2 linked regions of the Caenorhabditis elegans genome follow. The protein of the gene in region 1 interacts with the protein of each later gene in a pairwise test. Each region holds a gene or a part of one and is shown on either strand. Other genes may lie near its edges. The genes, in order: mdf-1 and npp-5.

Region 1 (4,968 bases):
GAGACGGACAGCGGTTTGGATTTCGCGAGAAGAGATGGTGGATCTCTTGTTGTAGTGGGCCAGACGAGATGCTTCCGAAGCAATTCTCTCGAAGACATCGTTGACAAACGAATTCATGATCGACATAGCCTTGGATGACACACCGGTGTCTGGGTGAACCTGCAAATTATTTAATAATATTTTTGATTTGACAGAATAACTACTTAATATTATTTTGATTTCTATGATCCCCCAAGACTAATTTAAATGATTTTTAAATACCGGTATTATATCGTTGCAGTTCGTACTAAGTGGTACGTAGTTTTAACATACAACATGCTAATGGCTAAAACATTTTTTTATCATAACTTATTCGATTTGAATATATTCTCACCTGCTTTAAAACACGGTAGATGTAGACCGAGTAGGATTCCTTACGAGCATGCTTTCTTTTCTTTCCGTCTTTTGGCTTGCTGACGGTCTTAGCAGCCTTTTTGGCTCCTTTAGCTGATGGTTTTGGTGGGGCCATGATCGAATGAGACACGAAACGAAAATGCGAAACGAATCGATGTGTTTGGCGAGTGTTGTCTATGAGCGCTGCGAAGCGCTTTTATACTCGCCAGCGGTGGCCCCACCTCTCGCTGCCGCGGAACTAGACTCCGCCCACACCGAGAGAAATAGTTAAATAGAGAGGCGGGCGCGTGTGCGCATGCGTATTTTGCATCGATTTTCGTCGGCTTAGACCACTTTTCTGTTTCTCTTTCACCTCCAATTTGCTCATCTAGACTTCTAGTTCATTGTTATTCAACCTAATTTCAGCAAAGATGTCCGGACGTGGAAAGGGAGGAAAAGCTAAGACCGGTGGAAAGGCCAAGTCCCGTTCGTCGAGAGCTGGACTTCAATTCCCAGTTGGTCGTCTTCATCGTATTCTCCGTAAAGGAAACTACGCACAACGTGTTGGAGCAGGAGCACCGGTATGTAGAATTTTAGAGCTGCTGTGTTTTGTGCATTTCCTAGATTAAAAAATCGTTCAAACCTGAACTTGCTAGCATTTTCCAAATTATATCACTTTTGCTCTTGTACTTTTTAAAAACATAATGTTCCAGGTGTACCTCGCAGCAGTTCTGGAGTACCTCGCCGCCGAAGTTCTCGAGTTGGCTGGAAACGCTGCCCGTGACAACAAGAAAACCCGTATTGCACCAAGACATCTCCAACTCGCTGTCCGTAATGACGAGGAATTGAACAAACTGTTGGCTGGAGTCACCATCGCCCAAGGAGGAGTTCTTCCAAACATCCAAGCCGTGCTTCTCCCAAAGAAGACTGCAGGAGACAAAGAATAAGCAGTGTCACAGATGAATATTGCAACTAAAGATACTCCGCCCCGTTAATTTATATGTCATCTGAATGTATTGTTTACTCGGCTGAATTGTAAATGAAATAAATTCATATACTTTGCAGTTATCAGTAAATTATTTTTTAAAATGAAAATAAGAATTTGTTTTAAATACAATTTTTCCAGGTAAGAAACTTCCCAAAATTCGGATTTTTGAAAAAAAAACTATTCGCAAGATCATATTTTCCTATTTTTGCATGTTCTTGTGTCCGAACATGTTTCCGAATGACCAAATAATAATAAAAAATGAGGCTGAAGAATTGCTGGGAAAAGTGTGCGGCAGCATTGCATAATGCCGCGCCCTTGCAAGTGGGCGGGAAGACGTTATTTTTAAGATTTCTTCGCAGTTTGTTTGGTGACATTCGATAAACTGTTTTTGTGCGAATGGATTTGTTTGACTTCCCTTGATTGCATTAAACATATTATTAATCTCTATCTCAAAATTCGAATCGCTCACTGTAATACATTATGTAACTGATTTTTTTCAGACATGAATTACGATGAAGACATTGTCGATGAAGACGAATATGAAGAGTCGGAAGCTACAATGTTGTTCGCTGAAGAAATCAAAAAACAGTTCAAAAGAGAGTTTCCGTTGAAAGCAGAGACAGAAAAAAAGCTGAAGCAGGCAACATTTCGTCGACATGCGCCGGTGGAGGCCAGAAAAATCAATTTCGATATGACACTCTCACCTGGTAAATTAACTTAATCCATTTATTAAAAATGTTTAAAATATTTTATTTAGTGGCTCCAATCGAATTGGCAAGTGCAAAAAAAGAAAAAGAGTCGGCACAGCGTCAATTGGTAACACTCCGTGAAGATCACGAACGTATGAAACAAATGATGCAAACGAATCAAGCGAAGTTGGCTGAAAAAACCATTGATCTGGAGACGAATCGTGAGAAAATGTTGGAGCTGCAAGAGCAAGTCGAACTTCTGAAGCAAGAACGAGATGACACCATCGCAGAGTGTAATCGAAACGTTGATATTTGGACAGCATTCGGCAAAAAATACTACACTTGGTACTCAATGGCGAATACTCAGCTGGAATCTGTGAAATTGTACATAGACAACGACGGAAAGTTTGAAAACGACGAAGAAGTTACACGATTGAATGCAGTTCCAAGACAGATGTACAGGGCTCTTGAACAATTCGATTATGATGATGAAACAGTAGAAGAACTTGGTTCAGGAAGTCTGCTAGAATATGAAGGTGTTTCATTTGCTACCCGTAGACCACCATCTCCTGAAACGGAAAGAGAAATCGCTCGTGCTGATCAATCGGCTGCTAACTTTACTCTACCTCGTAAGTCCGGAATTTTCAAACTTTTGTTTGCAGGCAAATATATTCGTATTTTCAGAATCCAATTTCACACTTCTCGAGGATTCAAATAACACCATAATGCCAGAAGATCAAACAATGATGACTGATGGCTGCATTGCCAATCGATCACTTATTGATTACGAGAAAGATGAGAAAATTCAGCGATTACTACTGGAAAACAGTGTTCTCAAAGATCGTTTGAATGTCTCGAGTGGGCGTGCTGAAAGGTCGATGATTTTCGAAGAACGTAATCGTACTTTAGAGTTTGAGAAGAAAGCTCTCCATAAGCAGTTGGACAGCACATTTGTGAGTGAATAATTATTGTTAAACTAATTTCACGTTTAATTTATTTTAGAGTGAGATTGAAGCTATTCGGATTGGCCAAGCAGGGAACTTGTTCAATATAGACGAGAAAATTCCTTCGAGTTCAGACAATTCCGCTAAGCAACTGCAGCTCATTGACAGAATCACTCAGCTCATTACGAAGAACAATCAGCTCGAAAAAGATTTTGAAGCAGCTACTTCCAGAATGACGAAAGTTATGCGAGAAAGCACAGACTGTGCTCGTCGCAACGAACGACTTGAGGATGCTTTTTCGAGCGAGAGAGTCAGAAGCCAAGACCTTGAAAATGAGAAAAGCCGGCTCTCTGAACAGTTAGAGTTGAGCAACAATGAATTGGAGAAGGTCAAGAAACAGTTGGAAGAATCTCAATCTCAGCTCGATGAAGTTCTCAGCATGACTTTAACTGTCCCAGCTTCAGAACCGGCATCTTTACCTGCTCCAACCGATGCCGGAAATAGTACACAGATTTTCCATATGGCTTCTAATCCACTCCAAGATGCTCACAATGAATTCCAAGCGTCTGAAAGTAGGAAAAGAAAGTTGACAGATGCTCCAGCTGGTGATCAATGGAGAGAGCAAGAGTTTGCTGAATTGGAGAAGCGTCTTTACGACTGCGAAAGTGAGAAAAAAGTACTCGAAAGTAGTTACAATCTTCATAAGGAACTCTCGTCGAAGTTCCGGCAAGTTTGTATTGCTCTGACCGGTCTCCAAATCAAACTGAAAGATGCAGACGAAGGAATATGCACTGTACAAAGCGAATATGAAGGTGGTTCCGCTCAGCAGTTCGTGTTTAAGTATTTCTATGGAACTCCTCGCATCGATATGCTTGATGTCAGCTGTGAATCAACTACTGAAATGCTTCGAAAGTGGGAGCCACTTATGAAAAAGTTTGTTAATTTTCTGGTTACTTACTATTAGAAGTATAAATACTCCCCGTTGTTGTGAGGCATCTTCTTAAAATATGTTTTTTCAGGTACATTGGCGACCGAAATTCGATTCCGGCTTTCTTAGCAGCAATGACTCTTCAGCTGGAACAGGATCGAGATTTTGACGAGACGATGCATGAGAGAACACATACATTCAGTGTCTTACACGAGGACTAAATCATTGAGCTATCTAGATCTCAATTATTTTTCTTCAAAGGAGAAGCTGTTAAATACACTGTTACCTGAATATTTGATGTTTCATTCCATTTTATTTATTTATTTTTTAATCTAAAACGTGTAGTGATCAAAATTAATCACACAATGAACGTTATATTTTCTTTCCAATTCAATGTTTACTATGGTATATTGTTTCGTACAATCTAAAGTTTATCTGCTCGTATATAGGAGAAATACCATTATGAAAATAGGAAAATTGGTTTTTGAACATCCTGTATTTTTCTAAAACGAGTTTGAATGATACCGCAATTAAATGATATAAGAAAATATATTTTCAGATGACAGCGTCAAAAATTAGTGATGTCTCTTTTGTGACTGATTTTGTATCAAAATATCAGAAAGGAATGGAGATGTCTTACACATTGGATGGAAATTCACGTGTTAGTGAATTCAATCAAAAAATGAGCAGTGTATCCATTCTTCTATTTCATAGAGATTTAGAGCAATTTCTTCTAGTTCGTCAATTTCGACCAGGTTTCCAATTTTATTCTATTGAAATGTGAGCGTTAAGTTGTTTTTTAGCAATCTTCACCGCATCAATTTCAAATTCGCCGGAGAATCACGGTAAAGAATTTGATAAAATTGACTGGAGCAGCTATGATTCTGAAACTGGCTACACCATTGAACTTTGTGCTGGACTAATTGACAAGGAAGGATTATCTCCTAGAGAAATTGCATCAGAAGAAGTTGCTGAAGAATGTGGATATCGTGTGGATCCTGATGATCTAATTCATGTAATAACATTTGTTGTGGGTGCTCATCAATC
Region 2 (5,555 bases), on another chromosome or scaffold:
TCAGGACGAAAATTCTGTGAACCGATTCATCAAAAAATGTCTGAATACGTTGCAAGAAAGTGAAAATAGAAAGATCTCCGGCCAACTGATAACTGATAGCAGTTGGCTGACAAAGGTCAACTTTTAAATTTCTGCCCCACCGTTGCAGATATAAAATATTTGAAGGGAAAATGTTAGATTTGAGATCAAAGCACAAGCGACACGTCCAGCATTGAGAACAGTAAATTTGCATGAGAATATAGAAAAATTTTCTGCGAAAAAGCTGACGTTAAATATACGTTGCGTAGCGGTGAGAATGCAGATAAGGGGTCAACGAACAAAACAATAAGGAGAACACATCGAAAATCAAAAGATAATGAAGAGAACGACTCGCCTTTATAGACATTTTGCCGCCATTTGTTTTAATGAACTCTGCTCTTTCTTTTTTCGAGAACGATCGAAAGATCATCAAAACACAGTGTGTAGTTTGATGCCGCGGGTCTCGCAACGCTCCGGTTGAGACAGGTGTGCGCCTTTAAGTATACGGTAGGTGAGAATCCTCACTGAGGATATTTTCAGGCATGGAAATTTTCAAATTAAATGAAGAAAATATCTAAATCAAAATTTAAACCATCAACCTCTGCACAGAAAATTTTTCCTTTCCAAATATACATGGTAGTCTTGCGTCAGATCGGTAATATAGATCTTCCGCAATCTGATGACCTCTTCTTGAAGAAGATCTTCACGTGAAACCCACAGAAATCAGAAAAATTTGTTATTTTCAAATACTGCACGGATACAATCGTGTCTGTGAAAGATCGACCGGAAATTTAAAAAAAATGAGAAAGAAGTCAGAAATATAGTGATAAAAAATGGTAATCAAAACAGGTATCAAACAAAAAAACAATGAAATAAAAATTATTCGACTTTGAGATTGAGTTCTGCGTAGAAAGCTTTGATGAAAACCATCCATTCCTGATCGAGCCCGAGGTCATTATTGAAGCTTGTGAAGAAATCGTTGAAATTTGTGGTATCGTCGAGTCTCACGGCGGCTTGTGCAAGAAGGATGAAGAATTGCGGGAGGAAGAGATTCCGAATCTCCTGAATTTCTTTCCGGTGTACACGCATTGGATCTCCATTAGCACGTGGGCTCAAAAAGTACTCCGGGCGCACACCAATATTGTTAACCAGCCCACGGAGCATCGGAAGAACAGTCTGAAATTTCAATTTTTTAAAATTTTTTTCACAACAATTTATTCTAAAAATCCTACATCTAAATGTTGTTGAACCATTCCAACTCGCGTATTATGCTCGGCGGCTCTCTTTTTGAGCACCTCTTCCCGCAGAGTTTGCTCAGCACGAGCTCGGACTCTCAGTGAAGCTTCCCAGTCAGCAGCTGTGGTGTTGTCGAGTCGTTTGACTCCTCCGATCATGGAAAGCTCATCATCAGTGATCGGTGTGTACTTGAACATGAGCCCAAGTTTCAGAGCAATAGTGATCATGAAGTTGTTCACATCCTGAAAATTCGGATTTTAAAATGGCCAATATGAAATTGAATATTATTCAGCAGCGAAATTTTGAGTACGGGGTCTCGACACGACAAATTTTTGTTCAATACGAGACGGTTTGCACCTTTAAAGATTACTGTAATTTTAACCAGTGGTTAAAGATTCCGCTGATTTGGATAAGAAATCATACCACGAAAGAGCAGAGCCCATAAAATTCCAGAGCCGCGTGTTCGATTTTATTAATTGCCAGCTGCGATCCAGGTTTTTGCTCAAACAGGGTTCCATCAGTGATCAGTGAAAGTACAGTTGCTTCATTTTCAACAGCTTGTGACAATAGCTTAGGAACTTCGAAATGAAGCGCTTTTCGAATAATTTGCCTAATTACAGACTCGTCAATCGGTGTCGACAGCATCACTTTACGAACTAGTCGATTACATTCTTCAAGAGCAGCCAGTGCAGTCTCTTCTCCACCTATCAAAAGCCAATGCCAGTGATCAATCTGCTCTTCCAAAGTTACAACCTTCGTTTTGTCATCTTTTCTGATTTGCTCAATAAGTGTGCACGCACAGCGTCCGAAATCAATGTCAGATTGTTTCAGCGACTCAGCCAGGATTTCACGTTCTTCATCAGAATCGACAGCTGAAAAGAGAATTTTTTTAAAAATCATCATCAGTTTTTAAATTACCTTTCATAGTCTCCACAATCTCTGGAAGCTTCATATCTTCTGGGAGGAATCTTGAATAAAATGCAGCCATTTTCTTGTGTGATGAGGTTCCACTGCGTGCACGAAGATCATCGAATCCAAGAATAATTACAGCATTTCCATCGTCATTTGGTTCGAAACCACTCGCATAAGAAACTGCGACGAGGTGGAAGAAGATGTCGAGTGCGAGCATGTTCACTTGACAATTTTTATCATTTGGAACAAATTCTCCGACTGTTTCATTTGCGAACTTGTACAGATCTTCAATGTCATCATTGAGCATGTCATCGATCACTCGGAGTAGGATGTATACTTCTTTGGTACGATCAGCCTCTGATCTCAGCTCATCTAAGATTGATTTTGAAGTTAGTGGAACGTTGAACAACGTCGAAATAGTTTCCTGTGTCATGGCTCCCTCGGCGGCAAGAATTCTTGCGAGAACTGCAGAATTTGCATATGCCCATACTTTTTCAATCACTGACTTTCCAGCTTTTAGCATTGGTTGGATATTCCCACGAATCGCAGAAATCAGCATCCAGTAAGCATCATCTTCGCTCCCCTGCGATTGTTCTATCAATTTCTGTGTCATCTGGTAGTACTTTGCGCGTCGAGATCTTTTATATTCCCCAAAGTTCTGTTTAGATGCCTCTAGTGGAATATCAAGTGGGTTCCGGAGCATCGAGTGAAGCTGAAGTTGAGCTCCGATCGCTCCCATTCCTAGATCAATGGCTAAATTCGCAGCTTTGGAAGTTTCTCCACTTCGAATTAATTGGAAGAAAACGTTCATCGCCATTTGCTCGAGAGCTTGATCTTCTTTGGTACCAGGAGCATCTGGATCCAGTGAAGCATCTTTTGGAGCATTGGCTGCTCCAAATGTTGGTCGTTTCAAAGCCATCATTGAATTGATTCTAGAAGATTTGATTCCTTCGAGTTTCCGAACTTTGTCTCCAAGACCTTTTTCATATTGCTGTTCGCTGATCGCTTTCTCACTCCAAAGAAGAAGAGCCTAAAAAATTAGAAATTATGTGTTTAATTGAATAAAAAGTCTAAGATCTTACATAAATCCTTCTAAACTCCACATCTTCTACAACTAGTTTGCTAAGCAAAGAAACTTCCACAGTCTCATCATATTCATGAGCCAACGCGGTATAAATTGAAAGAACACTGGCGATTTGCACGGCTTCATTCGCGTATTTTTGTGAACTGGCGGAATAATTAGATCCTGCAGGAAGTTTTCGAGTCTGCATTTCTACTTCTGAATAGATCTGAAAAAATATTACATTTATCAGAGGCCTTTTTCAAGTGAATCAAACCTCATGAAGTCTGGTCCACATAAGTGGCGAGATTTGCCCTTGAGGAATATCGAACTCTCCGAAAGCCAATGCACATAATTCGTGGTACAGTTTTTCTGAGAGATTTGTGTGAACTGCAAATTATATATTTTTAAAATAGTTTTCCTTTCGCATCGAGTGTTAAACTCACAAATTGTAGTGTATTTGAAAGCGGTTTCATTTTTGCGCGCGATTTCATCGTTAGAGTCGTCGAAGGAGTTGGAAGAATTGTCCCCCGAAGCGAACAAGTCTGTCATTGTGCTAAAAATATTTTTTTAAAGGAAAATAAAGTTTTAAAAACTACATGAAACAGAAAAAAAAATCGTTTTACACGACGAAAACCCTTCGAAATTTGAAAATTTTTGCTTAAACGAAAATAATGGTAGTGCGCTCCATTGAGAACACAATGCGCGGACTTTCAAAAAAGAGGGGTTTATTCAGGTTTTCATAACTTTTTTGAAACACAGAAATGGAAGAAATTGCAATTTGAAACTTTTCCGAGTAGTGCCTTTCATCTTCAAATTGTTTAATAAGGTGCAATCAGCTATAAAAAACAAAAATGAGAGCCGACGTTATGGGTTGATGAGAGCTCTTATTTTAAAGCACATCGTATTTTTGCGTTCCAGTAGCAGCTATCCTCTAAATCATCTGTTTTGTGTGCATTGTGACTGTCTATAAATCGATCAATACGTGCTCCTACGCTTGCGTTTGCTACTTACATAAGGATATATTCTTTGAACCACATGTTTTGTGTGAATTGAGACTGTGTATAAGAATGTAAGGAGGAGAGGGGCCGTTCGTATCGTTCGTCTTATGCACAGGCTCAATGCACACAAAACAGGGTATATTGTATACTCAAATTAGAGAAAAACATATGGAGAGGACAATAGACCAAAGTTTTGATTTAATAACTAGAATGGAACCATTTCTGGAGCACTATTTCGTACGAAAAGCTTGCGGCTTTGTGCAATCAATCTCCTAGGACTTTGGCGGCCTGTCCATTTTTGTTATGTTCGAACAATTGAAAAAGTTATTTTTTTAAAAATTCAGGAGAATTCTATAAATTATTTAAAAAGTTATATTCAATATGTTGGACTGCTTTCTGTTTCTAGGGAAGAAACCTACACCTCCTCCTCTAAAAAGTCCTTATAAGGGGACTATAGACCAAAAAAAAGATTCCTTGTAAAAAAATGTTTGCCCTTTTTTGGTACTTCCTTCCTTGGGCTTCTCAAGTGTAATCCATCACATCAATTACACCAACCGACAAGAAAACCAAAAAAAAAAAACGAAAAGATGCTAGTTTTGCATGGGAGCCGTAGTGCACCTCTTCTTTTTCGTCTCTCTTTGTTTCTGCCTCTCCACTCCTTCACCCACTATTTCCAGCTCACCGAGCCATATTTAGTAGCTTCATATCTTTAGTTTATCAATCATATTTGTTAAAATTAATTTCGAGTATTTTCATCGCTAAATACCTGCTTTTCAAAATCGTCGCCACCTATTCCCAAAATCGATCACCGGATTTTTTTCTGCCGACTTCAGTTAAAAGACAACACAAAATGCAATGGTAAAAGGTGAGTTTGGAACAAGTTCTGCAAAAAAAACGAGAGAGAAGACCCCCGAAACTTGATAGTGTGGGAGAGGAGGAGCATAAGAAAGAAGAAAAAAAAGATGTATTGAATTTCGAACATCATGTTGAATTACAACAAAAAATACGCAGATATTTTCAACTTTTTGCGTTTATTAAAAAATTAATGCATATTTTCAAAATGTTTAAAGCCGCTGATAAACGTTCAGATTTAAATTAATGAAAATTTTTACAAATTTCTAATAGTATGCCAATTAAAAATCAATTAGTTTTAGGCTTTCCATTGAAAGTAAACTTTACAGAAAAATCTCAATTTGTACCATTTGGCTTTACATATATTTTTTCAGAGAACTATTGTTCCAGACGCGAACTTTTGAGCCAAAATTAAGGTATCTGGTCTCGACACGACAAATTTCTGAAAGTTAGTAAAGTGGTGTGCGCGTTTAAAT

Evidence for each region.
Region 2: the proteins of mdf-1 (region 1) and npp-5 interact in a two-hybrid assay, tested with the Caenorhabditis elegans proteins (one study listed by BioGRID).

The regions. Positions count from the first base shown.
Region 1 is NC_003283.11:9,541,119-9,546,086, reverse strand, and holds mdf-1 (uncharacterized protein), read left to right. Parts: upstream 1-1,860; 5' UTR 1,861-1,862; coding exon 1,863-2,067; intron 2,068-2,117; coding exon 2,118-2,678; intron 2,679-2,733; coding exon 2,734-3,002; intron 3,003-3,051; coding exon 3,052-3,926; intron 3,927-4,012; coding exon 4,013-4,142; 3' UTR 4,143-4,305; downstream 4,306-4,968. Other genes in the region: his-41 (putative histone H2B 3), read right to left, coding at 1-159, 374-508; his-35 (Histone H2A), read left to right, coding at 804-953, 1,086-1,319; C50F4.16 (Uridine diphosphate glucose pyrophosphatase NUDT14), read left to right, coding at 4,481-4,676, 4,725-4,968.
Region 2 is NC_003280.10:11,596,028-11,601,582, forward strand, and holds npp-5 (Nuclear pore complex protein 5), read right to left. Parts: upstream 3,783-5,555; 5' UTR 3,779-3,782; coding exon 3,673-3,778; intron 3,617-3,672; coding exon 3,504-3,616; intron 3,456-3,503; coding exon 3,249-3,455; intron 3,197-3,248; coding exon 2,173-3,196; intron 2,127-2,172; coding exon 1,678-2,126; intron 1,497-1,677; coding exon 1,251-1,496; intron 1,195-1,250; coding exon 898-1,194; 3' UTR 740-897; downstream 1-739. UniProt on the Caenorhabditis elegans protein: Involved in kinetochore assembly and chromosome segregation during embryonic mitosis.